Linked DNA regions of Notamacropus eugenii. The protein of the gene in region 1 binds, or shares a complex with, the protein of each later gene. Links are inferred from orthologs where the notes say so. Each region holds a gene or a part of one and is shown in the gene's direction. Other genes may lie near its edges.

The links.
Region 2: SNRPG (region 1) and BUD13 share a complex: the UniProt entries of both Homo sapiens proteins name them as parts of the minor spliceosome. The link is inferred for Notamacropus eugenii from reciprocal best matches to the Homo sapiens genes SNRPG and BUD13.
Region 3: SNRPG (region 1) and PRPF3 share a complex: the UniProt entries of both Homo sapiens proteins name them as parts of the U4/U6-U5 tri-snRNP complex. The link is inferred for Notamacropus eugenii from reciprocal best matches to the Homo sapiens genes SNRPG and PRPF3.
Region 4: SNRPG (region 1) and STRAP share a complex: the UniProt entries of both Homo sapiens proteins name them as parts of the SMN-Sm complex. The link is inferred for Notamacropus eugenii from reciprocal best matches to the Homo sapiens genes SNRPG and STRAP.

What each region holds. Positions count from the first base shown.
Region 1 is NC_092872.1:631,381,434-631,388,594, reverse strand, and holds the start of SNRPG (small nuclear ribonucleoprotein G), read left to right. Parts: upstream 1-4,141; 5' UTR 4,142-4,322; coding exon 4,323-4,354; intron 4,355-7,161. UniProt on the Homo sapiens protein: Plays a role in pre-mRNA splicing as a core component of the spliceosomal U1, U2, U4 and U5 small nuclear ribonucleoproteins (snRNPs), the building blocks of the spliceosome.
Region 2 is NC_092876.1:135,379,410-135,387,061, forward strand, and holds the start of BUD13 (BUD13 homolog), read left to right. Parts: upstream 1-4,647; 5' UTR 4,648-4,759; coding exon 4,760-4,902; intron 4,903-6,768; coding exon 6,769-6,859; intron 6,860-7,652. UniProt on the Homo sapiens protein: Involved in pre-mRNA splicing as component of the activated spliceosome. As a component of the minor spliceosome, involved in the splicing of U12-type introns in pre-mRNAs.
Region 3 is NC_092873.1:304,220,011-304,227,801, forward strand, and holds the start of PRPF3 (U4/U6 small nuclear ribonucleoprotein Prp3), read left to right. Parts: upstream 1-4,786; 5' UTR 4,787-5,078; intron 5,079-6,205; 5' UTR 6,206-6,292; intron 6,293-7,205; 5' UTR 7,206-7,258; coding exon 7,259-7,403; intron 7,404-7,791. UniProt on the Homo sapiens protein: Plays a role in pre-mRNA splicing as component of the U4/U6-U5 tri-snRNP complex that is involved in spliceosome assembly, and as component of the precatalytic spliceosome (spliceosome B complex).
Region 4 is NC_092874.1:190,187,323-190,194,595, reverse strand, and holds the start of STRAP (serine-threonine kinase receptor-associated protein), read left to right. Parts: upstream 1-4,268; 5' UTR 4,269-4,681; coding exon 4,682-4,793; intron 4,794-6,463; coding exon 6,464-6,599; intron 6,600-7,273. UniProt on the Homo sapiens protein: The SMN complex catalyzes the assembly of small nuclear ribonucleoproteins (snRNPs), the building blocks of the spliceosome, and thereby plays an important role in the splicing of cellular pre-mRNAs.

The sequences.
Region 1 (7,161 bases):
GCTCAGGTTCCTTCACAGTGACTTTTCTCAGACTGCTGCTCAAGTTACTTTTTCTTGCCCTTCTGGAAGATACTACAAGAACAACACTTCAGTTAGTGTTTTTTGAGACTAACATGAAACGGTTTTCAGTTAAGGCCAAAGAAAGCCTCTCTTTGCTTACAGAACAATCTTAAGCCTCTTGCTTAATGGAATGGTGGATGACAGGTTTGGGTCAGTTAATTTTCCCCAAAGCAGAAAAAGATGTGATATCTGACCCTGGCTCTTCTACAGAAACAACTTGTTGAAAGGAACCTCTAAGGACAGGAAAGGGTAGGAAAACAACTTAAACTTCTAAGCAGGTTGCAAGGGAGAGCTTTTTTCTACTCCAGAATACAAGATGCAGCTAGCACCAATTATCCAGTAATCACTGTTGGTTAAAACTTTGAGCAACATGCTAGTACCAGGCATTGTGCTGGAAAAGATCTTGTTCTCTTTATACCAACTTCTTACTGAATGCAATTAACGTAGCCTTCCTATTCAGTGTTTCAAGGCTATGTCATATTTTCCTAGTGGTTTGATGAAAAAAATAAATAGTTTGATTTTTTTTACTTCCCCCATTAGTGAACTGCTTTTCTTTTTACATCTGGACAATGATATTTTTACCTGGTTCTCAGTGTGTGAAGAATGTATTTATACAGGTATCAGAAACATCACTTACAGCACATATGGAGGAATTGGTCCATTTACACCTAAACTGAATTGTGACATTTATTGGAGGTGTTCATGCCTTCAGGAAGAGCATTAGAGTAGAAATCAAGAAACCTGGGCATCCGTTTTGTGGCATAGACCTGTGCCCTCCTGTGACAGGGGACTGGACTAGCTGGCGATCCTTAAGGTCTTGTTGAGAGATGCCAACTCTGACATTCTCTGAAGTATCTGATCATTAGAATTACTTTGGTTTCAGATAACCAAGATAAATTCCAGTTCTAGTGAAAACACATTTCCTCCCATAAGACTTCATTTCTCTAGGCCTCAAACTCTTCAAATAGAATGAGGGGTTCAAACTAAATTCCAAGATCCTTTCAATTGTAACAGTCTGTTAATCTTAAGGCTGTGTTGAGGCAAGTTTATATTTAAGATGTTCTGTCTGTTGGCTTCCCCTTGCTTCTGGAATCAGAGGGAATTTGAGGTATTTCCATAGTGAACAAGGAAGAGATTGCCAGAGAAAGGATTTGTTGAGGGACTCTTTAGTGTCAGATTATTTGTGTACCCAGCAATGCTGGGCCTACAGGGGACGCCTGATGAATGCTTGTGACTGGGGATAGACCTCTAGGAATATGGCTTTTAGAAAGAATTGTACACTAATAGACCTTAGAGCTTGCCTAGGAAAACTGGGAACCAGAAAGATAAAATAAAAGTTCTCCAAAACTACTAACTACTGGAAATTATTTTGATTAGATACATTTTATCATGTTAAGGAAGAACCTCTCAACACCTATTCTAAATTTTTGTTCTTATTATTAGATGGATGAACATTTTGTATTTTTGTCAAACTAATAAATCCGTGAGGGAGAATTTATGAGGAAACTTGGACAAAAAGAACAAAAAGATGTGAGGGATAATGATCTTTATGTATAATATATAACTCATTAAAATCACAACTATCAAGGTGTTAAGAGTGGATAAATAATTTTATCTTTATAAAAACACCTCATTTTTATAGAATAATGGCAACATGGAATAATGGGTAAAGTGATAATCCGCTGACTGACAGTATTCAAAAAAGAACAGGCCAAATGAAAATTAACTTGGTACAAGTAGATTCAAAGTCTTACATGCGGGTTCAGAATATATCAAGTATAAAGTAGGGAAGGTGTAGTTCCATTGTCTATTCTGTTTAGATCATATCTGATGTATTTTGTATAATTTTGGGTGTTGCTATTTAGGAAAGGGATTGATAAGTTGGAAGATGTTTAGAGGAGGGCCAGCAGGACTATGAAGGGTTTTGAGCTCATGCCATACAATAGCTAGTATTTATACAATGTTTTAAGGTTTGCAAAATAGTTTGCCTTCTCTTTCTCATTTTCTCAACATGGGAGGGTAGGTAGTATTCCTCTGGTTTTACAAAGAAGGAAACTGAAGGGTTATACAACCCTGTCTGAGGCAGGATTCAGACCTGAATCTTCTTGATTCCAAGTCTTAATGTATTAACGTCCTGGAACAAAGGATGTTTAGCTTGGAGCAGAGAATGTTTGGGGCACATGAGAGCTGTCTTCAAGTATCTGAGAGCTGTAATATGGAAGAAGGATTAGATTTGTTCTCCTTGGCCCCAGAAAGAAGGTATTTTTCCCTCTTAATTATATAATTCTCCTGCCTCATTATTGTGATGTCCATGCAGGTGAAGTCCAAGAGGCTTCATGTTTGTCTTAAGATCATCCTAGCTAAATTCAGAGGCTTATCACCATATTGACCATTTTATAAGTGTAGTCAGCACTCGAGCAACTTCACTGGTCCTCAGTTTCCTCATCTGTGAAATGGTGGTTTAGATGCAGTGGGTGGAAGTTGCAGAGGAAATTTAAGGTTGATGTCAGGAAAAACTTGCAAATAATTAGAAATGGCCTCCCTCACAAGGTATTGGATGCCCTCTGATTGGAGGCCATTAGATGACTTGTTATGTAGTAGAGAATTCTTTTCAGATTTGTAAAGTTCTACCTACATTTGGGTACGTAAAGTCTTACATAGGTACAAAGAGTTGACTTCAGCAGGTACAAAGGTAAGAAGACTTGTTTAGATGGCAGCTGTTATAAAAAATATCTTTGGGTTTGCAAATCAGCAGTGTATGTAACCAAAAATGTTAATATAACATTGAGCTGCATTAAAATACCAATAATGTTAGTAGCTAGCAATTATATAGTACTTTTAGATCTGCAAGGTCCCTTACATGTTCTCACTTGATACACTCAACAACTCTATAAGGTAAGTGAAATCTCCACTTTACTTTTTATAGCTCTGTGTGGTCACAGAGGGCAGAACCAGGAGCAATGGGTGACAGCTGGCAAAGAGACAAATTTAGGCTCCGTATTGAAGAAAATCTAAGAAATGGAGCTGTCAAAAAAGTGTGAATTTCTCCTCAGATGCAGAGGCTATCGAATCAAGCTGATCACTTTTCTGATAGTGGAGATTCCTTGCATATATGGGTTGGACTAGATGGTTACTTAGATCCCTTTCAACTCAGGTTTTCTGATTCTGTGATTCATTGACTGATTTATTACTCTTTGGGGCATTCTCAGGCGGGATACTTTTAAGGTTCACAAAGTTACCATCCCTGCACATCCCTGGCTTATATCGATACAAGCATGGATTTTCACACCTTGATTACATGATTCTCGGGCCTTCCCCTTGTGATGTGGATGTGGGCCTGACTCCCATGCAGGTATGGCCTAGAGGGTGCATATTTATAATTAGAGGATCTACTTACCTAAATTCAGAGAGGCTCATTACCATCCTGGCCATTTTGTAAGTGTAGACAGCACTCGAGCAACTTCATTGGGCCTCAGTTTCCTTATCTGTAAAATGAGTTGGACTAGAGGCTCTCTAAGCACCCTTCCAGTCCTAGGTCCTTTATGGGCCTATGCAATGTTCAAGGGAAGTATGGAGTGATGCTGAAACGGCACACGCTGGACCTCACTTTTGATCTGCTCCCCTACCTGGATTCGACTCCATGGTACAAGATAACTTACAAGAAAATCCCCAGTCCTGTCCCAACCCCCGCTTCCCTGCCTCCTTTGTGCGTTGTCAACCCCTTGAGATTGTAAGGGCCTTGAGGGCAGGCACTGGCTTTTAATTAATTGTGTCTTTAGCACTTAGTACAGCGCCTGGCTCATAGTAAACTCCCAATACATATTTCTTGGATGGACTGGATTTAACAATGAAATAAAAATAATGTAATATACGAATAAAATAAATAGCAGACACTAGAAACAGAGGGACCTGTGTTTGAGTCCTTTCCACTAACTGCTTATCTGCCTCTGCCTCAGATAAGTCTCTTCTATCTGGGTCTCTGTCTTTCTTCCCCAAAAGACTAGACAGGTTCAGGATCCGCGCTGAAATCCAACAAACTGTTCAATTACCGGGCTAGTTCCCAGCCCCGCCCACCTGTAGCAGTGCGCATGCGCAGCAGGCTTCGGTTGGCTGCCTCAGCACGAGGCGGGGCTGCTCGGTTTGTGATTGGTTTGCCGGAGCCGATGATGCCAGACGTAAGGTGGCGTCAGTGGCGGCAAGGGGAGCGTGAGTGAAGCCGAGGATTGCACGGGGAGGAGGCGAAGGGCCGCAAGTGAAACAAAATGAGTAAAGCGCACCCACCCGAGCTAAAAAAGTGAGTACGGTGACCTGGCAGTTGGAGGGCCCGGGAGTTCAGCTCAGCCTGCACCGGCTAGTGAGGGAGGCCTGAGGAAGCCGATTAGAGGCTTCTGCTTCCCGGCATGCTCCACGTTCCCGGCCTTCTCTCTGCCCCTGGCCACGTGGGGAGGGGGAGGGGCGCGCGCTCGCGCGCTCTCGGCCTCTTGTGTCTCGCGCTCCATTCATTCTCTCCCGAACAGTGGTTATTGAGGGGCCTCAGGTTTGGGAGGCGATGCTGGGTGTGGCGGATGGATGGACGGATGGATGGATGGATGGATGCATAGATAGATGGATCGCAGGGCCCTTCAGACCTTGCATCTACCACGTTAAGATTCCCTCGGGGCTTTTTTGGAGCCTAAAACAAGTGCTTGGTGATTTGAATCGCCGTGTAATCTATTTGAAAGAATGACATTTAAAACCAGATTGAGTTTAGAGGTAATTCCAGCCACTTTATTTGACAGAAGAGTAAACTGAGGCTCGGAGAAGGACAATGACCTGTCAGAGGTGGTTTAAGTGGAGCCAGATTTCCCACCTTCTCCTTGCTCGTTGGTGTTCTCTTTTTACCTCACACGTTTTGGGGGCATGTTCTTTCTTGTAGCTTTTGGAATGAAACGGTGGAAAGATGGCAGAGTTTAAAGTGGAATGAGTACGCAAGACCTAGTCAGATAGGAAGCAGGCACATCGAAACCAATCCCTTCATTTTACAGATGTGAAAACTGAGGACCAGACCCACTTCTACATAGTGCCATGAAGTACTGCTCACTGTTTCTCTTTTTTTTAAATGTCTTGATCATTTGTCTTAACATTGTCTTTATTTCCCTGTATATCCCACTCCCCATCCCACCCAAGGGAGCCATACCTTATAATGAAGAATGAAAAAGAAAAGTGGGGTGGAGGAGAAAAATCAGGTAAAATAAGTCATTAGACATATTAGAAGAACCTGGAGTGGAATATCATGAAAGCCAAGGGTAGGAAAGATATTGAAGAGGAAGTCAACACTTAAATAGAGGCTTGATCTAGCGGGGCATGCCCCCCAAAAAATGGTTTTGGGAAGTAGGGTACCATTCGTGAACTTTGAGAAAGCCATTTTTGTTAAGTATTTAGGTATGAAAACCAGATTGCATGTGGTTGAGTCAAATTTTAGGCCTTAGAAGTATCCCTTACTTTAAGGACTCAACTATTTCCATCTCCTTTATGAAGCTTTTCTCAGTTCTCCTCAGCTTTCCCCATCTCAATTTTCCTTGTACTGTACATAATGTCTTATTCCGTTGTAGCTAGGTGATGAAGTAGAGGGAACCTTTAACTTGGAGACAGGAAGCCCCAGGTTAAAATCCAACCTTTGTGACCCTGGACAAATCACTTAACCTCTGTCTGCCTCAGTTTCCTCAACTGTAAAACGGGGATCAATAAAAGCATCTGCCTTACAAGGTTGTTTTAAGGATCAGATTAGATATTTGTGAAGCACTTAGTACATTGCCCTGTACACAGTAGGTGGCCTATGTAAATACCTATTTCCTTTTCCCCCGAAAGTTTCTTGAGGACTAGAATCTTTTGTGTATAGTAGATGCTTAATAAATGTTTTAGTGAATTTAGAAAGAATGATACCTGAAGGGAGTAGAAAGATTTAGGAAAGATTTTGTTATTTCAAGATTGGAAACACCTGAGTAGATTTATAGTTAGAGAGGAAGAAGCCTGTAGAAAGAGGTGGTAGTAATATAAGTGCCTTGAAAGCTATTGAACTGGGAGGCAGGTACCCAGTCTTCTGTGTAACTTGGACAAATCACTTTATCTCTGAGCCTATTTCCTCATCTGTAAAATAAAAATATTAGAGTAGATAATCTCTAAAATTAATTTCCAGCTCCAAATGTTAAGAGTCAACAAACTTGTAATAAGTAACCTATTATGTATACATAGTATATTAGAGTTACAGAGACAAAATTGACAGTCTCTGCCCTCTAGGAACTTAGTCTACTAGTAGATACAATGTTAAATAAGTTAAAAACCAATAATTTGAGGAGGAAAAGAGCATTAACAACTGGAGGAATCAGGAAAAGCTTGGTGGAGAAGAGAGCAACTGAGTTGGGTTGAAAGGAAGATGAGAGTTCTGACAGGCAAAGATGAGGCCCTGCATGAGGATGAGGGGCTAGCAAGGGATGACTTGTATGATTGTGTAGAAATGGGATGTAGAATAATAGATGCAGAGAATAATGGGGCATTAGCCAGAAAGTAGAGCACATAAAGGGAAATAATACAAAATGCATTTGAAAAGGTAGGCTATTGACAGCTATAAATTTGCTTGCTCAAGAGTTTGTATTCTAGAGTTAGCAGGGAAATGCTTTTTGAACTGGAGTAAGTCATGTGAAATGCTGAAAGAGCTGGGAGGGGAGAGCATCAAGGACACTTATTCCAAGGGCTTATATATCACCTTGGGGGGAAAGGGAGACTAAGATAGAAAGACTTACTGTAGATAAGTTTTGAGATGTGGAAAGAAAGGGACAACACAAACTTGCATTTATATGATGCTGTAAATTTTGCAAAGCACTTTCATGGGAAAAGGCTCAAAGAGGGCAGATGATAGTTAATGTGCTGGATGAAAACTGGACAGCAGAGAGATCTTGTCAGACTAAAACATGGGGCAGAATCCAATAAGATGAAGTTCTGTAGGGATAGTTATAGTCTTACACTTATAAAGTTAGGGGAGGAGAAGGTTTGAGCTCAAGGCCAGGATAGGGAGAAATGGTTACAGTATCTGGGTTTTTTTAGTGGACTGCAAACTCTTTGGGA
Region 2 (7,652 bases), on another chromosome or scaffold:
TTGTTATTGGCACGATGCTAATCTTTTTATAGAATAACTTGATCTTCACTCTAATATGTAGCCCTCAGGAAATAGGAAACTGCTCCATATAAGAAAGCTACAATGCAGGAATGAGTTGATATTAGGGAGGGGAACTTAACTGCACCTTTTTCTCTGCCAAAGAAATTGTAATAACTAGCAATATGGGCCTAAGAATACCATGACCCAGAAAGGAGAACCTTCCAGGACCTAAAATCACTACAACATACCTGTAGAGTTTTCCTTTTAACTTTAAAAATATGGAGCAGGAAAAAACCAGGAAGAATTTTAGTACCTGCAAGTGGTCTCCATTTATCCACCTTGCACATCAGTATATTATGCAAATCAGCCTTCTGAAAACACTTTACCTCAGAAGAATAATTCTTTGGCTTTTAAGTCTTACATAATTATTGCTTCTACTGTACATCCTGTCACTGGACTTTGGAATTCTATTGCTACCTCTCTGCAATCCAGAACAAGGTTCTCTCCTCATCTTGTGAAACTCCATCATAGGACATAAAACTCATAATCCAAGTTTTTTCTTAGACTAATTTATATATTTTTAATTAGGTGCATCTGTTAACATACCAGAAGAGTTTTTCCTAAGTAACATTATGCAGCAAAAGATCTGATTGGTTAAAAGTAATAAGCATTAACAGGTACACAACAAATCAACCTAGTTAGACTAGGTGTGAGCTTGAAATGATCTACAGGTAACCAACCTTCCTTCATAGCTGCAGTCTCTGCAAGGAGGAATAAAAGATGACATGATGGTTTTAAAAACTTGGTAATTCATCATGTACAAGTTAGATTGTAAACAGTTTTTTGGACACAAGTGGAAAAAAAGTTTTCAGTATGAAATCCACAACAATTTCCATAAATGTATGCTAACATACAGAGGGGCTGATGGGATACATAGCCTGACTGCTGTGTTTTCTTTCTTCCAAGGTTCTTTGCAGTTCTAAGTCTATGAGATCATTATTCTTGGAACCAAATAGTCCAAGTTCTTCTATTTCTTCATATGGCATGATCTTTAAACACTTCACCATTCCAGCTGGCCTTTTTATGCACTTCTCACCAGTTTATCCATGTCCTTCATAAATTGTGTCTAGAACTGAACATTGTATTCCAAAAGTGTTTTGACCAGGTTAGAATAGGGTGGGATGCTCACTTCCCTCGTCCTAAGTGGTATGCTCTTAATGTGCCCTGGACACATTAGCGTTTCACTTGCCATATAATGTTGAATCATATTGAACTAAAAATCTTCAAATTATTTTCAATTCAACTTTTAATTCAGTTGAATTGCCATGCAGATTATCTAACTGAATCCCCTCATTTTACAGACAGGTCCTCCCATAGGAACCAAAAGCCTTTCCTTGAGCCTTTTCATCCATTCAGCTACCCTCCTTTCTCCCTATCACTAATCACATTTGAAATGGGTGCCTCTACTTCATGGCACCATCTGCTTGCTCTTGTACACTTAGTTAATTTGTCTTCTTGCAGCACTATTCTACCGAATAGGTTCTACCTAAGCCTTTTTCTCCTAAAAGTCACTGAAGAGCTCTTTATCAATAAATTCCATGGATTTTTCCATTTCCATAGTTCCATCTCTGGGCAGATACCTCCCAGATTTATTTATATCCACTTTTAGTCTCTAAGCCACTGAGTTTCAGTCCCTGATACCAAAGGCCAGTTAGATATTTCAAACTGGATGTTCCAGAGACTAACATGTCTAAAACTAAACTTGGTTTTTTCATTGCAAACTTTCTCTCTTGCAAACTTGGCTATTTCTGTCAAGGAAACCTCCATTCTTTCAGTGTCTTGGATTGAAATCTTGACATTTGTCCTGAACTTTCTTACATATCACATATCCAATCAGTTGCCAAATCGTGCCATTCTATATTCATATCTTTTCTTTCTGACCTCTCCAGTCACAGAGCTGCCACCTTTGTTCGGGCCTTTATCACCTTGCAGTTAGATTACTGTAACAGCTCCTTATTAATCTCTCTGCTTCAAGTGTCTCCCCACTCCTACATGCTGCTACCAAAATAGTTTTCCTTAAATGTAGATCTGACCATGATTCCCCTACTCAACCAACTTCAATGTCTTCCTAGTGCCTCAAGGATAAAAAGATAAACTCTGTTTAGCTTTCAAAGACCTTCACTTCCTGGCTCTAACCTGTCTTTCCAGCCTACTTAGGCATTTCTCTCCATCCTGCACTTTGTGAAACAGCCAAACTGACCTTCTCTCTGTTCCTGACACATGACACTCTAACTCCGTTTTGCATGCCTTTGTCTTGGTCATCCCAAAGTAGTCTACCTTCCTTTATGATGCTGTTCAGGCACCATCTTCAAATGAAGTATTTCCGCATTCCTCTCATTGCTAGTGCCCTCCTTCCTAAAGTACTTTACATTCCACTATTTTGTATATATTTGTATTTATTTACTATGTATTTTGATATGGAATTGTCTTCTCCATTAGAATCTAAGTTCATTATGAGTAGGATCTGTTTCACTCTTTGTACTTGCATCCCCAGTGCCTAATACAGTAAGGGCTTAATAAATACTTGTGGATTGACCAATTTCTCATTCTCCTTGACCTGTTTGCCACCTTTTATACTGTTGACCAATCACTTCTACTGTATGCTTTATTGGTTTTAGAGCCTACATTTCTAAGCTGTTCTTGGTCTTTTTCATTGGCTACTAACCTCAGGAGCTAGTGTTGGAGCTGAGCTCAAATCCTACTCAAACACTTTATTAGCTGTGTAACCCCAGACAAGTCACTTAATCTCTCAGCTCTTTCCTCTTGACAATGACAGAATGATGACCATAACAGCACCTATCTCCAACTGTGTAAAGATATTTGTAGAGTTTTGTAAACCCTAACATGCTATGTAACACTACTTACGATATTGATGATGATGCCCTTTACCCCTTATTATGGGGGTTCCCCAAGGGTCTCTTCTCATCTTCACATTTTTTCCATTGGCAATCTCATTTACTGCCAGGGCTTCAACCATGTCATAGTCATCATCCCTGCAATTGATTTTAAAAGATTAATTTTGAAAAATTAGGAATTTAAACACCAAATAAAATAGGCTATGCACATAGCAGAATAGAAAAGAGGACTGTAAATGAAACGATCTCTATTATGTAAAATTAAATAATATAATAGATTGAATATGCAATTTCAAAGCTGCCTTGTCTGATTTTTTTCTTGTTTTCCTACTGTTCTCTTCTGTGCATTTAAAAATTCTAGTGACTCTTTTTCTTTTTTGATGGGCTATCTTGTCCCTGGCTCCTCCTCTGCCCTCCCCCAAACTGAAAAAATAAAAAATAAAAAAACAAAGGCTTTGTAACAGATTTGCGCAGCCGGTTTAAAACAAGTTCCCATATTAGTCATATCCAAAAAAGTCTTTTCCTACAACTTGAGTTCATTATCTCAGGAAATGGGCAGTATGCTTTATCACATCAGTCCTCCAAAATTATAGTTGGTCATCGCATTAAATAGCATCCTTACGTCTTTCAAAGTTGCTTTTCTTCACAACATTATGTATATTGTTCCCCAGGTTCCGCTGGCTTTACTGTGCACCACTTCAAGAAGTCTTCTGTTTCTCTGAAACCATCCCTTTTGTCGTTTCTTCTGGCACAATATTCCATTCTGTTTTCATATCATAATTTGTTCAGTCGTTCCTCAATCGGTGGGCAGCCCTGGTGTCCACTTCTTTGCCACAACCAAGAGCTGCTATGAATGTTCTTGTGTATAGAGGAGCTATGTGGAATATGGGCCTAGTAGTGCCAAGGACGCGTGTAGTGTAGTGACTTTGGGGGCATCATCTGGGGACAAACTGCTTTCCAGTAGAGTTTCTGACCAATTCACAGCTCCCCCATGGCACATGGAGGGTGCTGGCTTTCCCACGGCCCTTCCAAAAACTGCCATGGCACTAACTCGATGACTTGTGATGTAGAGGCCTTTCTTGGTCTGATGGTTGCTAGCTTAGATGTGCGCCCACAGGCTTTGCCTGCTTGTCCTCGTTCGTGTAACTGGGTCAGTTCCTTCGACAGGGCACGTACGCTCGATGCCCACCTGGCACCGCAGACTCATCATGTCTGACTCCCGATATGTGCTCTCTGGCTCATGACGGGCAGGGCTACCCACGCCGGGGAAGGAGAGCGGAGGACTCCCGTGCAGGCTGAAGCACACTTTGTTCGTTTCGTTTGTTTATTTTGGGGGCAACATGATGCTGCGTGACTTCACACGTAAGACGGGCAGACGGGGGCAGAGGCGAGAGGGGGGGCAGAATTCGGAACTCCAAAACAAAGCTGTAATAGAGGGAAAGGCGTTACCACGGACCCAGTCCCGCCCACGTGGCGTGGGGCAGCCGTCCTTCTCCCTCCACTGCCCCGGTTTCATTCCCCTACGTCTCTCTTCCCACGGCCCCCCCCCCCCCCCTTGTATTCCTCCCCGCCCCGCTCCCCGCCCCGCTCCCCCAAACCCCGGGCCGCTGCTTTGCTGGGGCCGTTGTGGCCCCGCCCGCTTCCCCGGGCTGAGCAAGAGCAGGAGCGGGGCCACGCCCACAGCCAGGGACCAATCAGATGCTCCCCTCGCTCTGTCTGCGCTGCCCGGGAGTCCTAGCTCCACCCCCTGCAGGCCCGCCGGGAACGTTTGGCGTTGCGGTTAAGTTTGTGTCCCGCGCCGCGCCGTAGCTCGGTTCCGGTTCTCCTCCGCTTCCTCCGCTGCCATGGCGGCTGCCCCGCCGCTCTCCAAGGCTGAGTATCTGAAGCGTTACTTGTCGGGGCCCGAGGCAGCTGCCGATGCGGGGTCGGAGCCTAGTCGTAAGCGCCGCAAGAAACGGCCGAAGCCGACGGGTGCCGGAGGGAAAGGGTGAGCCAAGGGGGAGTGTGTGTGTGAGTGTGTGTGTTTGTGTGTCCGTGTGTGTCCGTGTGTGTGTGTGTCCGTGTGTGTGTGTGTCCGTGTGTGTGTGTCCGCGTGTCCGCGTGTCCGTGTGTCCGCGGGCCGAGCCGCTCAGCCCCGGCCTCCTCCGCCCCAGAGCGCCCGCACTGCCTCCTGGGCGGCACGGGGTGCCCGGCTCCGCGCCCAGCGCCGGGGGGGCCCCAGCCCGAGCCGCCGGGCACAGCCGGGCCGAGCCGGGAGCGCCCTCCTGGAACTCGAGCTCCGAGCTGCCGCGAGGAGACTGGCGAGGCGCGGGCGGAGCGCCGGGGGCACTGCGAGGGGCAGCGCCCGGGTGTCAGGAATACGGAGACAGGAAAGGGGGGCTCGGGTCGTGACTTTCCCGGAGCTTTATGGAGGGCTGGGGTGGGGGCCGCGTGTCAGACGGCGCCCTGCACAGAAAGAAGGTGAAGGCGGGGGTGTCCCCAGGGGAAGCCGGGCAGCCTCGGGGAGATCACTGACAGCCCAAGGGAGGATGGCCGGGAGTGGGAAGGACACGGGGCCTGTCAGCGGTGCCAGAAAGCAGAGAGGTTGTGAAGGTAGAAGGGGCAGCGGGGGGCACAGTGGGTAGAGTGCCAGGCCTCGAGGCAGGAAGACTCACCTTCCTGAATTCAGATCCGGCCCCAGAGTCTTCCTAGCCCAGTGACCCCGGGCAAGTCCCTTAACCCTGTTTGCCTCAGTTTCCTCATCTGTACAATGAGCTGGAGAAGGAACTGGCAAACCTCTCCACTATCTTTGCCAAGAAAACCCCGAATGGGGTCCTGAAGAGTCAGACAAGACTGAAAGGATGGAACTACAGGAGCAGCTGTAAAGGTAGAGACGAGACTTGGTACCGGATTGGATGTGCAGGTGGTGAGAAAGCACTTTGAGCCTGGGTGCCTGGGAGGGTGCTGGTGCTCTCTGTGGAAACTGGAAAGTTAGGCAAGCACCAGTGACCCTAGGCTGTGGCCTTCCTCCTGCCCTGGCTCCTTGGTCCCCCCCATCACAACTGTGCTCTCTCCTGGCGCTGAAGGCTGTGACTGTCTCTTTGTCATTCCTTTCATCTGACTGTCTTTTTCCCATGAGCTTAGGCTCTGGCCTTATGTAGATGGCCCTCTTTCCCACCTTGTCCCCTCTCTTCTCCAAGCCCACAGTTCTCCCTATTTACTCCCCTCTGTACCCTCTTCCTTCCTGACACCCATGTGCCCCATTCAAATCAACCCAGCTTCTGGGCCAGATCAGTTTCCTCTCTGTTGACCATGTTGCCCTCTCTTAGTCACCAAATTCAGTTCCTTGTCTCTCCCTTTGTATCTCCTCAGTGACCTGAGCCCTGGATACACTCCTTTTCTCTCATTCCCTCCCAGACCTTGAGGAGTGAACTGGGAGGATCCAACCTGAAGTTTGGGATGAAATGCTTCAGAAGTTAAAGGGCAGGGGGTGTTTGGGGGGTGGGCCTGGGGAGAAGAGTACCAAGGGGGCCAGTGAAAAACACGGCAGTGGAATTAGGCCCAGAGGTAGGATTTCAGGCTGGGAATCCAAACTTTTGGGCTTTGAAGTAGGAGATAGCCCACTGGTTGTGGTTGGGGATTTGTGTTCCATCCTGTTCCCAGTCTCTTTCAGAGTAACTTTTCAAAGTTAACTTTTCCTAAATTCTTCAGTCTTAGAGATGTTGGCTTTGCAGGAAAAGGGCAAACTAAATGGGGCTTCTCTCTGTCTGCTCATGCCTCTCTCTGACTTATTTCTGAGCAACTGTTTGGGTCTCCTAGAATGTTGTTGGTTCTCATCTTGAAAATAGTTCTTTTTTCTGACTATTTTCTGTAGGATGAGGATTGTGGATGATGATGTGAGCTGGGCAAATATTTCTACTAAGTTAGAAAAAGAAGAAGAGGAAGAGGAGGGAGATTTGCCTGTGGTAAGTTTGGGAGTAATACGCGCTTAGGAACTTGTGTTTGCTTCAAGCAGATTCCTTTCATTTGGTTATAAGATCACAGAATTTAGAGCTTAGAAAGAACTTTGGAGATTGTCTTGTCTAACCTCATTTTATAGACGAGACAATATCGGTTCAGAGAAATTGATCGACTTCCCCAAGGTCAGGCATTAAGTGGACCCCAACTCTTAATGCTATGGGTGAATGGAAAGTGGTGGGAACAGAGAAGCAATGATGCTTTGCTTAAAATTGTAACAAAATGTTAATTAATAGTTGTGCTATACTCATTTCATTAGGAGCATCATCCTCCTAATAGTGAGGAAGCAATCACACAGAGGGAGTGACTTTCCAAGTGTGTGTTTTTGCTCAGCCAAAACTGTATTTAGTTTATGTTTGCAATTCTCCACTGAAAAATGTAAGAAAACATGCATAACAACTCTAAAGAAACTTTTGCTCTCCTCTTACCACTTAATAGCTTGATGCCTCTGTTCATTCATTCATTCATTCATTCATTCATCAAGCAAGTAAACAAGCCGGCAGACATTTATTAAAGGCTCCCTATGTGCCAGGTACCAGGCTAGGTTCTGGGCATACAAAGACAGAAAGGAAACTGTTCCTTCCTGCCTTTAAGGAGCTTAAGTATTGTGATTGGGGGAGAGCATTTTTGGGGGTAACAAGCAACACTAATACAAATAAATAGATACATAGTAAATATAAATAATTTCCATTGGGAATAACATTAACAGTTGAGAGGATCAGCAGAAGCCTCTTCCGGAAG
Region 3 (7,791 bases), on another chromosome or scaffold:
CTCTTCCCTGTCCCTGTCCCCAACCAGGTTATTAATAAAAGGATGGTCATTTGGCCTTACCTCTTAGACTACAAACATGGTAGCAGGCTCACAGTTTATATACCCTTTGAAGAGTGTTCAGTGAGGGGTTGAGAGTGACATGTCACCACTGGACAGAGAAAATATCTTTATACCAGACTTGGACTATCTAGACCAGTACTTCTTAAAACTATGGGGTCCCAACCCACAGTTTGAGAGCCGAATGGGTGGAGAGTGGAAAAAGTTTAAGAAGCCCTGATCTAGATAAAAGGATCCGTCTCTGCCCAAGTTTGAGTAGAACACAATGGACTTCCCCATCTGAAATTAAATTCCTTGTAGAGTTGGGTTGGGTCTGACCAATATTAGGGAGAGTTAATTCAGTCTCATTATTAGTAATGTCCTTTAAGAGATTTAACTTTTTAAAATCAGGAATTTGGAAGAAAAGGAGAGCTCTAAATCTCCCTAAGATACTGGTTATTAATAATCATTTCTCTCACCAGCTCCCTCTATTGCATACTATTTTGTCCTGGATAAAATGGAAGTGACCCAACCTGACATTTCAAGTCCTCCCCAGTTTGACTCCAATTTATCTTTCCAGCCTAATCTCACACTACTTCCTTTCATACTCAAATTCTAGCCGAAATGAAATACAACAATTGCCTCACTTAGCATTCTGTCTCCTGCCTTTCTACCCAATGTATCCTGTGTCTGGACTTCAATTCTCTTCCCTCCACTTCTGAATATTTATTTCACTCAGGTATCACTGGGTTCTGAAGTAGAAAAGGCACCAGGCTTCAGACTTTCAAGTCTGTCTGACACTTTATAACCTGGGGCAAGTCATCTCAATTCTCCCGGGTCCCAGTTTCCTTAATTGAAGTGAGTGGGTTGGAGTGATAACCTCTAGATGGTTCCTTTCAACTTTTAATTTTTCATGTCCATGATCTGTTCACTCAACCATCCTCTGTGAAGATTTGTCTAAGTTGTAAGAGATTTAGATCACTGATGAATATTTAAGAGTTTTAGTTAAACCACTGGAATTAATATCTATAAGTCAGACTCAGATTTACTTGTACAGGCCTCAGTAGTAGAGTTTGTAAGTTTGGGTTCCCTAATTCTAAAGGCTACAAACTGGACCTGTCTCATGAGGGAGATAAGGAGGATGGATGGAAGATGATTCAACCTGGTCAAATGAGATAAGGAGGATGGATGGAAGATGATTCAACCTGGTCAAATGTTTTGCCGAACACTGGATCTCTTAGGTATTGAGTGGTATATGGCATGAGACTTTTCAGAGGATGTTGTTCAACTCTGTATTTTTCCTGTTGCTATAGATTCTGAAAACTCCCTCTTGCAAGTCAGTATGATTAAGCAAAATGTATAGCATACCCTTTGCCTTTCTTCTAAACCAACCAACAGTCCTAGTTTACTTTGCATCACTGGACTATTTTTGGTACTCTTTATAACCTATCTTTTCAATTGTATAAAAAGCTGCTCTGATTGTCAGAACTGTTTCTGATTACTAATGAGCCATTGCCCTACTTTATTGGCAACTGTTTACATTGCTAATAAATCGATCATGCTTGGAATCTTGTGTCTCAGTGTCTCTTAATTGCAAAATTTTCTCAAGACTGTTGTTAGTACTTTATCTCTCCTTAAATCACGTGAGATTTACTTATCTTTTTACATGTATCTTGATGTAATGTAGGTCCACTGAGGGCAGGCACTTTTGTTTGCGCATTCCCAGCATCATTCAGAATACGTAAATAATAACTATCTGTGGAATTTAACTGACGTAGGTTTATTGTGAGGAAGATGGAAGCTGATCCAGGACATACAAAAGCAAAGAGGTGGAAATGGAGAAATGATGCTGAAGGAAAGCTGCCTGTGCCATAAGGGATTTACTGAAAAAGACTTTTTTCCCATTTGAAAAACACTGGTAGAAATTACTGCTTCATTTTCTAATGGTTAGGACTCTTGTGCATTTTAAAACTGTGGCAATATTTAATAAATGTGTTAATTAACATCTTAGACATCTGTATTATATCTTTAGAAAAATAAAAACAATAATATTGAGTCCTTATATACAGGATATTGTCCCAGACACCGCCATGGTCAAGGACTGCCACTTGTATTAAAAATTATATTCTCCAATTCAAAAATTTTTTTTTCCTTTTTTGAAAACGAGTCTCTCTTTCTCACTCACACTGGAAGCACAGTGGCCACTCCTGGGCTCCATCCCACTTCTCATCTTCACAGAAGCTTTGACCTGCTCCATTTCTGACCTAGGCCAGTTGAACTTTCTTAGGCAGTTTGGTGGCTTTTGCTCCTGGGGGCTTATCATATTGATGCTGGATTTAGTTCATGCACTTGATTGGTTTAGAACATCCCAGCTTAAGAGATCTACCAGGCTCTGCCTCCTCAGGAGCAAGAATTACAGGTACCCAACTCTATGGTCCAGCATAAGGCTGATTTGTCTAAGGTTCTAGAACACAGATGAGGGGCAGTGTTAGTTATATTTCAAATGGTGCAGTGATTTTTCTAACCTGGCCACAAGTTCACTGTTACAGAATTCTAACACATCAATAAGGGGCTAAGATCTAAAAAGGGCCAAAAAACAATTACTATTATTAACAGACAAATGAGAAATAAAAACTTTGAAAACGAGGAGGGATATTTCAGGTACTTAAAAAATGACTTTGCTAAGGGGAATTTCTCCCCTCCAACTTTTGAAGTTTAATTCATATCCCTTCTCTTCTCTTTCTTTTCTTTCTACTAGGCAAATTACTTTAACTCTCAACTTCAGTTTACTCACCTGAAAAATAAGGGGGTTGACCTCTGAGGTTCCTTTCTGCCATAAATCTGATTTTTCATATGGTAATGATCTTCCTTGAACTAACTTCATAATAACTAACATTTATATAGTTTGTTTTTTAATAACTTTATTCCATTCTGTCTTCTCCCCCTCTATCATTCCAACTCTCTCTTTTCTTCAGTCTGTCTCCTGGCTACTGCCTACAAATATGTTCATGTCTCCTCCATCCTTAAAAAACCCTCACTTGATCTCCCACCCCCTTCCCTGCTATCATTCTATGTCTTTTTTTTTTTTTTTTTGTATGACTAAACTCTCTGAGAAGGCTATCTGTGATCACTGGCTCCACTTCCTTTCCTCTCACTCTCTTCTTAGCCCTTAGCAGTCTGACTTCTAACATCATAATTCAATGGAAACTTTTCAAAGTTAGCAATGATCTTTTAATTGCCAAATCTAATGGTCTTTTCTCAATCCTTTCTGCAGTCTTTGATAGTTAATCACCTTCTTTTCCTTGATAATCTCTTTTCTCTAGGTTTTTATGACACTTCTCTCTCCTGGTTCTCCTGTATGATTGCTTTTTCTCAGTCTCCGAGATGGATCTTCATTCAGAGCATGCCTATTAATCATGGGGAAACCCAAAGGCTCTATTCTGGACAATTACTGCACTTCCTGATTTCATCAATTTCCAAGGATTCAACTATCATTTCTATATAGATGACTTTCACATTTATTTATCTATCCCTAACCTCTCCTAACTTCTGTTCTTTCATCCTCAGCTACCTATTGGACATCTCAAACTGGATGTCTCAGTGACATCTTAAGCTCAACATGTCCAAAACAGAATTTATCTTTTCCTCAATCTTCTCCTCCTCCTAACTTCCCTATTACTTCTAGGATGCCACCATCTTCCCAGTCATCAAGGCTCACAACCTAGGCGTCATCCTCAACTCCAAACTCTCACTCCCCATAGCCTGTCAATTGCTAAGTCTTGTTTCTTACATTTCTTGATACAACTCCTTCTCTCTGACACTGCCATCATGCTGGTGCAAGCCTTAATCAACTCACACCTGGACTACTGCAATAGTCTGCTGGTGGGTCTGCCTGCCTTAAGTCTCTGCCCCTTCCCCTTTCAGTCCATCATCCACTCAGCTGTCAAATTGGTTTTCCTAATGTACAGATCTGACCACGGTTCCAGACTGCCTCCAAGATCAAATTTAAAATCCTCTATTTGTTTTATCCAAAGTCCTCTACATCTTGGTCCCTTCCTATCTTTCCAGTCTTCTTAACATCTTAACACCACAGCCTTTCAACCTGGTACTCTGCAATCCGGTGCCTCTGGCTTCCTTGCCGTTCCTCCAGCAAGGTAATCCATCTTCCACTCTAGGCATTTACACTGACTCTCCCCCTCGCCCAGAATGTTCTCACCTCTGCCAAGCTTCCTTGGAGTCCCAACTAAACTCCCACCTTCTTCAAGAAGCCTTTCCCAAACCTCCTCAATGCCAGTGCCTTCCCTCTATTGATTTAGCCTGTATACGGAACGTTTGTATATGGTGGTTGGCAAGTTGTCTCACTAAGGGTTTCGGAGTGTTGTACGAGCTTGTGGAAGGGGCGGTGCTAGGAAGTGTTCTTAAATAGCGTCTTTGCCCCATTATCCCCACTTTAAAGACGAGGAGGGATAGCTGGACGCTCTCCGTAAAGCCTCTCGGGCACCCGCCGAGTGAACCCACGCGCCGTGTCAGTAAAGGGCACCAAGACTGGAAGCCCGCTTGATTATTCACACTTTACCAGATCCTAGCACGGTGCTCCACACCGGGTCCGCGCTTACTAAACCTGACTTTGCACGCGAAGGCCAAGGCTCGGGGAAGACATCCCAGCCTTCGACTTCATCCCCAACTTTCGCATAAAGCGCTCGCTTCCTGCACTGGGGAAACGTCTGTCGGCTCTACTTCCGTTTCCGGAAGAATGAACTTCCGGTTTTCCGCACGGGATAATGGTGGGCGGATAGTCCTGGTCATCTCAAGTCCTCCTAGGCTTCGAAAGAACCGTGCGCATGCGCCGAGACGGGTGGGCGGGCGAGCGAACCTCTTCGCATTTCTCTGCACCCTTTGGGCTCGCCACCGTCACGTGCCAGGGGCGCCGGGCGGGAAGCCGCGTGGCGGAGGCAGCGGTAACGACGGCAAGCCGTAAGGTCGGCCGACTTCCGGTTCCGGTGTAACGTTCGGGCTCCGTCTCAGGGGCTGAAGTTTGTGAGGTGAGTAGCGGGCTCGGGCCCAGTGGGGCTGGCTGTGGGGCCTGGGGGCTCAGCCTCCTAGCCCTGGCCGCAGTCAGAGCCCAGTTGGAGGTGGCGATCCCTTAGGCGAATGGGCCCAAGGGAGAGTGGCCAAGGAGAGGTTTCTGAGGGGGAGTGGGGTGGCGGGGATTGTAGGGAGGTAAAGGGCGGGGGCGGGAAGGGCAAAAGAGGCTCGGACCGAGGTGAGCTGCCCCGGGACAACCGGGGGGTGGGGGGCTTAGGTCAAAGGGGAAAAAAGAGCGGGACTGGGGAAGCATCCCGAGTGGAAACTTCCACCCTGAGTCTTCACTGGGGCTCATTTGGCCTTCCTAGTGGAGGCTCCACTTTAGTATGTTGTCATCTGCTCAGTGACATGTCAAGTTGTGATCCCCAAAGCTGATTTGTGTACCACCCACACCCTTTGTTTTGTTTTCATATCAAATGAACTAGCATGTGGTGGTGAGGGTTTCGTTTACAAGCGTTCAGAGCCCTAGCTATATTCCAGTCCTTTAAACGCTACGGATGTGATGATGACCAAGGTTTTTACTTTTGTCGTTTTTTAAGTATTTACAAAAGAAGCTCTCTATTTAACTTGATCATTACAACAATCCTTTGAGCATAGGCAAACCCTTTTGTCTTAGTCCCTGTTTTACAAGTGGGATACTGAAAGCCCGAGGAATTAAGTTGCTCATTCCCTACTCTTGACAACACCAGGATCCCTCTTAATACCATGCATGATAACATTCTCTGTATTCGCAGTTCAGGAATATGTATGGTTGAGTAGGAGTTTAGGAAAACATAGTCTTTTTCAGTGATTCCTTAAAATGATTGAGACCCTCTTGGGCTCTTTTGTCATCTAACTGATAGGTGAATAGACCTCTTAATGAGTTTTCTTTCAGCAAGACATATGCTGGATACTCAGATACTTCAGAACATCCTGTATGTGGTCTTTTTCCTTTAGTTTCATCTGTTCTTTTCCAGGCCCCTCTATCCCACTTTATTCCAAATTCAAAATCATAGTTTGGTGGTAATTCCGAGTGTGAACTTGTACAGATCTGTACTGAAATGTTGTTCTGAAATGAAGACATTAATCATTATATTTCTCATAGGGAAAAGATGTCTTAGGATATCCTAAAGAAGATCATTTACTTTTAAATGAAGAAAACTGGAATCACAAATTGGACAGAAACTCTGGTGTATGTGCTTACTTAGATTTGAAAAGGTTAAATCAATGAGTAATTATTTTCTCCTGTGTCCTGAGCACTATACCAGATGATATAAGAAGAATACTTAAGAAAATAGCTTATGTCATTGAATAGCTTCTGATTTAGCTAGACAAGTAAAGGTGTGAATATAAATGACAGTCCTGCTTAATAGAATGTTCAGTGAGAAGGTCTATTGTTCAGAAGACTCTTCAGTGGTTTCTTTTTTCTTTGCTGAACTCAAGAATTAGATTAGAAGTAAAGAATTGTCAGTCAGGAGAGGAGGAGGGTGTGCATCTTCATTTCTGTGATCCTTGTCAAGCACCCTGTCAGAATGGTCTGTCATGTAAACTTACATTATGAGAGGGTTGGTCAGTCATACAGTTTTTATGTGAAATTAGGGTATGGTGTCATGAAGAGAAAAATCTGTAAAGGAATGTGCTTAGAAGTTGTGAACCTTAATATAAAATTGGTGTTTAACTCTACCATAAATACTTCATGACCCACTGACCTGTATTAGGATCCCACAGAAAAGGATTCTGTCAGTCAGAATGAGGTTAGGGGAGGCCATGCATGAGCCTGATGACTTCTGAAAGACTTCTGCTATATTTCCATATTGTATAATCTGTCAGGCTCTGTAGATCTAATAGTATAAGGAAGGAAGCACCAGAATACAGTTCTCAGCTCAATTCCCCCTGGGTTAGCATAAGAGATGCTCTCTTTTGGATTTATTTTTTACAAAGATTGTTACCAGGGGGATGAATTTATCTGTAATTGTAGTAAATTAACTTGCCCAGGGGTGCAGGAGGTAGCCGGGGGAGAAGTCATTTCTGATAAAATAAATGTCAACCTGTATTATTTTCAGTCTCCTACCCTTCCCAATCACTTTCTCCTTTTTCCCTCATAGGTGCTGTGTTGAGTATTCAAGGTTGTCTCACTGTCTGTTGTCCTTTCTAAAGAATGGCCCTGTCCAAGAGGGAGCTGGATGAGCTGAAGCCATGGATCGAGAAGACAGTGAAGAGGGTGTTGGGTTTCTCAGAACCCACAGTGGTCACAGCAGCGTTAAATTGTGTAGGAAAGGGCATGGATAAGAAGAAAGCAGCTGGTATGTATTTTTTTTGGTTCCTGAATATGTCTCTCAGCCTGACTCTCAGAACTGAAATATTTGAAGCATTCGTAGGGTTAAAATGATGTTGGAACTTTGAAGGGAGAAGGCTCTATTTTTCTTGTGCTGGGTAGTGAGAATAGTCAGTTTGCTTTTGGATTATCTGCTGAGTGTCTTTTGAATCCCTTGCTGATTTTCTGCATATGTCAAAGTTGCCTCAGTCATGTATGCTTACGATATATTTTATGTACAAAACATGTTTATAGACAATACTTGCTTTATGTAAATTTGCATTATGTAAATTCAACTTTTTGTAAAGAATTCTGAAAGAAATCCCCATTCCAGAAAACACCTATGTTAACTACAATGCTTTGATTTCTCTCTTCTC
Region 4 (7,273 bases), on another chromosome or scaffold:
AGACAATACCCCACCATCCACCCCTAGGTCACTGTAAGAACAATCTCCTTAATTTAATACATAGTGTCCAAGTAAAGTCCTTTCTCATCTTGACCTGAGGCTGACTTCCAAACACCATGGCTCCTCCTCTGTGGGCCAACCATTCTCAGTTTTTGCCTGGGTTCACATACAGGCAGCTCTCAACTCCTGTTCCTTGGCTCAGCTCATGGTGACTGTTCTACTCCAAACTCTTCCTGCTTTTGCCTAATGACAGGCTCCAGGGGCTCCTGCCCATAGCTTTTGTTACTAAGAAAACAAAGCTTAAGAGGGCTATAACAATATTTATAACACATTACCAATGTCCTCATCTCAATTCACTCATAAAGACCAATAGACAGGGATTCTGTCTGAGAAATCAACACAGATTAACAGACAGGGCTTCTGCCTCAGGAATTAACACAGACCAACAGACAGAGCACCAACATCACAAACATTCTTTCTGTTAGGTGTCCCCATTCCCCTAGCCCACTCATGGTCGTTTCTTTCTCTCAGCTCTGTTTCTCTCTCTGCTTCTCTTAGCTCTGCTTGTCTCTCCAAGCAATACAATGTATATTGTTTCCAATCAAAGATTCTTAATTGATTCAATGAAAGGTAAGACTCAGTCGAAGGCACTTGATTGGCAAACTCAATCTAGAAAAACTGCCAAGAATTCTACTTTGCTAGCCATTACAATGGCCTGAGTCTGAGCTAGCCCAGAACAGATAAAATTACATATAATACATGGTATTAGATGGTGCTTCTAATAATGGGATACCACCTTCCTTTATGAAAATTGGAAAAATTCCCTTCCACTGTCATCCAGGGACTTAAAATCACCTCCAAATGAGTCAAAGGGTCACTTTTCCTCTGTAACCCCACTTTTGCTCCAAGTTTTGGGTAATTTTCTTAGGGGCAGTCTTGTAAGACTGTATGGATGTGTGTGTGTGTGTGTGTATGTGTGTGTGTGTGTGTAGGGGCTAGCAGCAGAAAGCCATGACTCATTTGCTGAGCATAAAGCGGAGAAGGGATTTCTTTTAAGAGATTCCTGAGAGAAATGGAAAGGGAGATCCAGAAAGAATGTAAATTTTTGAATAGTAGACAGGAGATCTAAATAAAGATACCGACTGGCGGTAAAGCCAGACTTCAACAGGTCTTTTGATTTCTAGCACCAGCCCTAGAGAATGCTGAGTGGAATACCCCCTCCTAGCCCTCACTCCTCATTTTTCTCTTCCCTTAGTTGAAATGAGTTCGTATTTCAGTTCAGAAGAGCTCATTTATTCTACTCTACTACTTTAATCTAAATGAGCTGATTTCCATTTACTGATTACTTTGATAGAGGTCTAATAGCTATCTGTATTTGTATTTTCTATAACTATTATTTGGTGGGAGGGAGCTTAGCTGATGAGGGTGAGTTAAGTTTTATCCTACCCTTAAGAGGGACAAGGGGAAAAGTGCCTTTTGTTTTGAATGTTTAAAAGAGAGAACACTGACCCTTAGACTACAAATATTTGAGGTGTGCTGATACAATTGTGGGCACAGTGAATACAGTGTTGAGCCTGGAATCAGAAAGATGATTCTTCCTGTGGTCAAATCCAGCCTCAGACACTTACTACTTGTGTGACCCTGGGCAAGTCATCTAACCCTGCTTGCCTCGGTTTCCTTATCTGCAAAATGAGCTGGAAAATGAAATGGCAAACAACTCCAGTATATTTGACAAAAAATCCTAAATGGGGTCCTGAACAATTGGACATGACTGAACAACAACAGATATAATTGTAGCCTCAAATACCTATTGGGGATAGAAGAGCAAGAGTGATTGCCTGGTCATACCTTGACTAGATTCTCCCTGTGGTTCACAGGGCTTTTGGCAATGCAGTTCCAGACTGCCTCCAAGCCAGAGGTGGAAATCATAATCTCCATTTGCAGACATGGAATAGGGCTTTCCAGATCTCACCTCTGATATCTGTCTATATCATATGTGGACTAATTGTTTTATATTAGATCTACCCACGTCTATTACATATGAATTGGGAAAATAAGCCTAGAATCTAGGAACACCTCTAAGCTCACTGTGACGATGAAGAGAGTTTTTTCTCAAATTAGAAAAGAAAAAAATACTCCACATTTGGTCCCTCAAACCCTTTCTAAGAAGACATAGTCCAAAACATCTCAGGGAAAAGGAAATCTATCAGTTAAGGGAGACCTGAACCATTTCTTCAGGTTGCAGAGAATCTTCTGAGATGTCACAAATCTTAAGGTCCAGCTGACCCACACAAAAGATGGAGTAAGAATGGACTGGAGGGGGTCAACTGGCACTATATACAAAAGTAGTCTGTCTTGATCAGCTGAAGCCTAGATCTGAGAAAATATTAGAGTAGAGATCCCTCTTTCTCCTTAGGATTCTGCTGATTTATCAGAGACACAGCCTCTGGGAGAAAGGATGAACAATCCTGATAATCAGGGAGTGTGGTGATGAAATTGTATCAAAACTCCATTTCAAGGATCCATTTATATCAGCTCTTTTTGTGCTGCCCATCATTTGGCAAATGGCTGAAAAGGCTATGGCATATGGTTGTGATGGAATGCTATTGTGCTGTAAGAAATGATGAGCTTCAGAAAAACCTAGGAAGACATATGAATTGATGCAAAGTGAAGTGAGTAGAACTAGGAAAATACTGTACATAGTAGCAGCAACCTTATAACGTAGTCAGCTGTGAAAGACTTAGCTAGTCTGATCAACAACAGAATGATCCTAGACAATTCTAAAGGACTTCTGATGAAAAATCACCTTTTCACCTCCAGAGAGAGAACTGATGAATTCTGATTGCAGATTTGAAGTATACTATTTGCTTTCCGGTTTATGTGGAAATGTTTTGCGTGACTTCATATGTATAATAGGTATTAATTTCTTGATTTCTCAATGGATGAGGAACAGGTGGAGAGAAGGAAAGAATTTGAAACTGAAAAAAAATTTTTAAGTCTATGTCAGCACTCCATGATAAAAGCTGCTCCGGGTTGGAATCGAAGATGTAAAACTCATCAAATGGGATGATAACATAATACAAATATTTTCTGTGACTCCCTAGACTATAACTCCTTTTTCTTGCTACTCCCTTATGTGTGTTTTTTCCACCATTAGAAAGAATCTAAGCTTCCTGAGCATAGGGATGGTGTGCGTCATTCTACTTGTATTTCCAGCACTTTTGCTGTTTATCACATACCAATCGCTTTATCAATACTTTTTTTTGATTCATCTATTTATCAGAGAACCTTATGCGCCATTCATGAAGTACAGCTTGATGCTGGGGCAGGTTGAGCAGCAGCCCTGCCATCAGGCAGACAATCTGGCCCCAGACTCTTAGTGGGCATGCGACTCTGGGCAAGTCACAACCCTGTTGGTCTCAACTCCTCACCTACCACATGAGCGGAAGAAAATCCCCAAACCCCAATCTTCGCCAAGAGAACCCGACTGGGGTCACGAATCGGACAAGACCCAACGGGTCACTTCAATCCCTGCTACTCAGTTTCCTCCTCTTTAACATGAAGTAGAACAAGCCAGCTCAGCCAAGTCAAGCTCCTGGAAGGCGGGGGCTGTTCTGTTTCTGTCCTTGGGGTTCTCCACGCAGTGCCTGGCACCCAAGAAAAGCCTAATACATTTTAAAACTTAAACTAGTTGTTTTTTGCCCATGAGCGGGCAGCGCAGCAGGTGGAGAAGGAGGGGATGACTTGGAATCTCCGATCCGCCCTCCTTCGGTCCGTGCCCGCAGCCGCCCGTCTCTAAGCCTGGGCTCCTGGGAACGTCAAGGGCTTTCCAGTTCTAGATCTAGAACCTCGGGAAGAAGGTTAACAATGCGATTCCACCCACGGTTACTGTAGCTGGGGCGCTATTGTGTATACTGAAAATACAACAAAATACACGGACTCAGGTAGGAGTCGGACCGGGAGGGGACCGGAAGCAGGGCGACTGCTATTCTGGGGGACACGTGCGTCCCTAAAACTGCTCAAGTCGAGATCCAATCGGTTGAAGACGATACGGCCCCAGGGTGGCCTGGACCCCAAACGGGCGGGGCAGGAGACGCCTTTCCCGAGCGCTCGAGACAAACCGCCCCACCTGCTAGTGCCTTCACCCACTCCTTCTCTCCGGAAGGTAGAGAAAGGGAGGGCCCGGGGGGTGGGGCCAGAGGCGGGGCCTAAAGTGAGCGGCGCCAGCAGCGGGGCCGAAGCCACGCCCTTTCTACGTCGTCATTTCCAGCGACGCCCTCACGTCATCTACCGTCGTCACTTCCTGCCAGCGCCGGAGTGGACGGTGCTGGCGGCGCCCGGCTCGGCGCTCCCCTCTCCTTCTTTCCCTCCCTCCCTCCCTCCCTTCCTCCTCTTCCTCCTCCTTTTCCTCTCCCTTCCTCGGCGGCTAGAGCCCACCCCGCGCTGACCCCCCCCCCCCAACCACCCACCGGAGGCCGCTCCAGATCTCAGCGCCGCCGTCCAGCTTCCTGCCCTCCCCCTCCGCCCCAGCCCCTGTGTCGGAACCAGGCCCTTCCCGGAGCGGCCGGAGCCTTCGCCGCCCCTCGGGAGCAGCCTTCGGAGGACATCAGCGACCCCACGGCGCCTCCCTGCAGCCGTCCGCTGAGGAGGAGCCGTCCCCCCCGACCCGGCCGCCGCCGCCATGGCGATGAGGCAGACCCCGCTGACCTGCTCGGGGCACACGCGGCCTGTGGTGGATCTGGCCTTCAGTGGCATCACTCCCTACGGCTATTTCCTGATCAGCGCCTGCAAAGGTGAGCGAGGTCCCGGGCTCGGGTTGGCGCTCCTTGGCCTGGAGGCGGAAAGGAAGGAGACAGGCCGTGCGCCGGCTCCAGAGGCCTCCCCGTGCCCTTGCCCGCTTCCGGGGGACCCCGGGTTTGGCCGTGGCCCCATTTTGGGAGGCGGGCCCAGTTGCCGCCAGTCCAGATGCCCCGGCCTGGAAAGGCTGGAAATAGATTCCGAGGCTTGGGGGAGGGGTGCTGGTGTGGGGCCCTGCCAGGGAGGCCCTAGGGAGTGGGGGCTGTCCCGCTCGGTGGGGAACAGAGGAAGCCTGGAGGAGCCTCGTTTGCTGTGGGCACATGGCTAAGAATCGGCTAGGCAAACTACCTCAACTTTCTCGCCAAGTTACTTGGAACAAGTTTACAATTTGGGTTTTTTATTTTTTTTTATCTTTTATGATTTTGCCCCACTTAAAGATTACAACATGTCTATTAGTCATAGGCTAAGCTTTAGATCCTCAAAAGTCAAAGGCCTCCCCCCACTTTTTTTTTTGTATTGTAGTGTATTCACAAACTATTAAGGAAATATCGCATACATGATTTGTGGAGTCCAGGACGTAGAATCGAGGAGTCCACTTAGTGAATTTTCATACTAAAAGATGTATTAAAACTTAGGATCAAATATTTAACATTTCAGAATGGCCATAATTTTATCATAGGGGAGGACTCCTTTCATCCCAACTGGCAATAGTGAGCCCTTCCATGCTTCTCAAGAAATTTACCACCTGGGGTGGCCAACCTGATTTCTTAAGTGTGCTAATGGGCTATTAAAGGCCAGGTTAGATCTAGAGTAGACAAGTCCATGCTTTTACTGTTGTCATAATCTTGGAATGTGAAAGATTATCCCCACATCGGTAGGAGGTATTGGAGGAGAACATATGAAGAGTTGCCTCAATTTAAAATATATAGCATGAAAGCTTTTGGAAATTCTGTTTTGAAGTATAATTACCAATTTTATGTTGAATATTTTTTTCAACTTTAAAATACATTTTCAGCTGTTATCCAATTATGGTTGATAATTCTTTCTGTAATCATTTATGTTTTAAAATACTCAGTAGGTCCATATATAAATGCAAATACATTGTGATTTTTGGTTTTTTGCTGTCTTATACTTTTCATTTATTGCCTTAGGTTTTACATTTGAATTGGATGTAACAAATTAATAGTTAAGTTAATCATACCATTTATGTCTGTTTCATGATAAAAATCTTGTAATTTCTTTTTTTTTTTTTTTACAAGCTTTTGCTTTGAGAGTAGTTTTGAAGATTTGCTGGACTTCTCACATGACTTTACCTAGCTCTTTTATTTAATTGTGAGATTGGCAAATTATTTCCACAGTTACATTTTTTTTCCTTATGAGACCTCTTCCAGATAGAGGGCTCCCAGGTGAAGAACTTGTTTACTGGTGGAGATTTGGTGGCTTCTTTGTCCCAGAAAGTTGCCTGAGATGCTGAAGTGACTTGCCCAGAGACACCTAACTTCTCAGTTCCTCACACAGCTCTAAAATTAAATTATAGAGCAATTGTTTCTTCTCTGGCAGTTCATTATGTCAGTGTAATTATTGAGAACTTTTAACTCCCAAATTTTTAGGAATATAACACTGATTACTGAAACACTTATTAATCACTTTTTAAAAATTTGTTTAGATGGTAAGCCTATGCTACGCCAAGGAGATACAGGAGACTGGATTGGAACATTTTTGGGTCATAAGGGTGCTGTATGGGGTGCCACATTGAATAAAGATGCTACAAAAGCAGCTACAGCAGCTGCAGATTTTACAGCGTAAGTAAAGGCATGTTTTCTCCCTTTTAACTGTATACTTGTGAAATATGTTATGAAATATCCAAAACATTAACAAGCCATACTTTTTAATCATTCAGCAAAAATCATTGGGTCCTTTTATGTTCAAAGTACTGATATACAGTTGTAGAATTCATTGGTTCAAAAAATTTTATTTGTAAGGAAAGTGATTGGATCTGACTTTTTACTGTTTTAGAGTAGCAAGACTACTCACTTAAATGTCAACGATATAACAATGTGTTAAAGACAAAAATAGAAAGGTCCCTGCCTATAATTAGCTTAAATTTTACTAAGTAAGTAAATTATGTACACAGATAATTATAACTCAGTGCCAGAAACATTTAAGTGCTTACTCTATAGAAAGACAAAAAATCAAAGTCCCTACCTTCAAGGAGCTTTTTGTTCTATTGCAATGTTAAAACATGTACATAAGTAAACTGGAAGGAATTTTTAGAGGTAAAAAGTGTTCATAAGTTGTGATGTGGAGGTGGGGGGAGCCAGGTATCAGAAAAGGACTTGTGGAAGATTGTAGAACCTGAGCTTTGTTTAGCAGAAAGAGTTAATACAAATGAAGGAGTGAGTTTCAGATGTCAGAGGAGTGCAAAGTTTCAGAAGGGAGAAATGGAATAGCATGTGTGGGTATTATTAATTAGTAT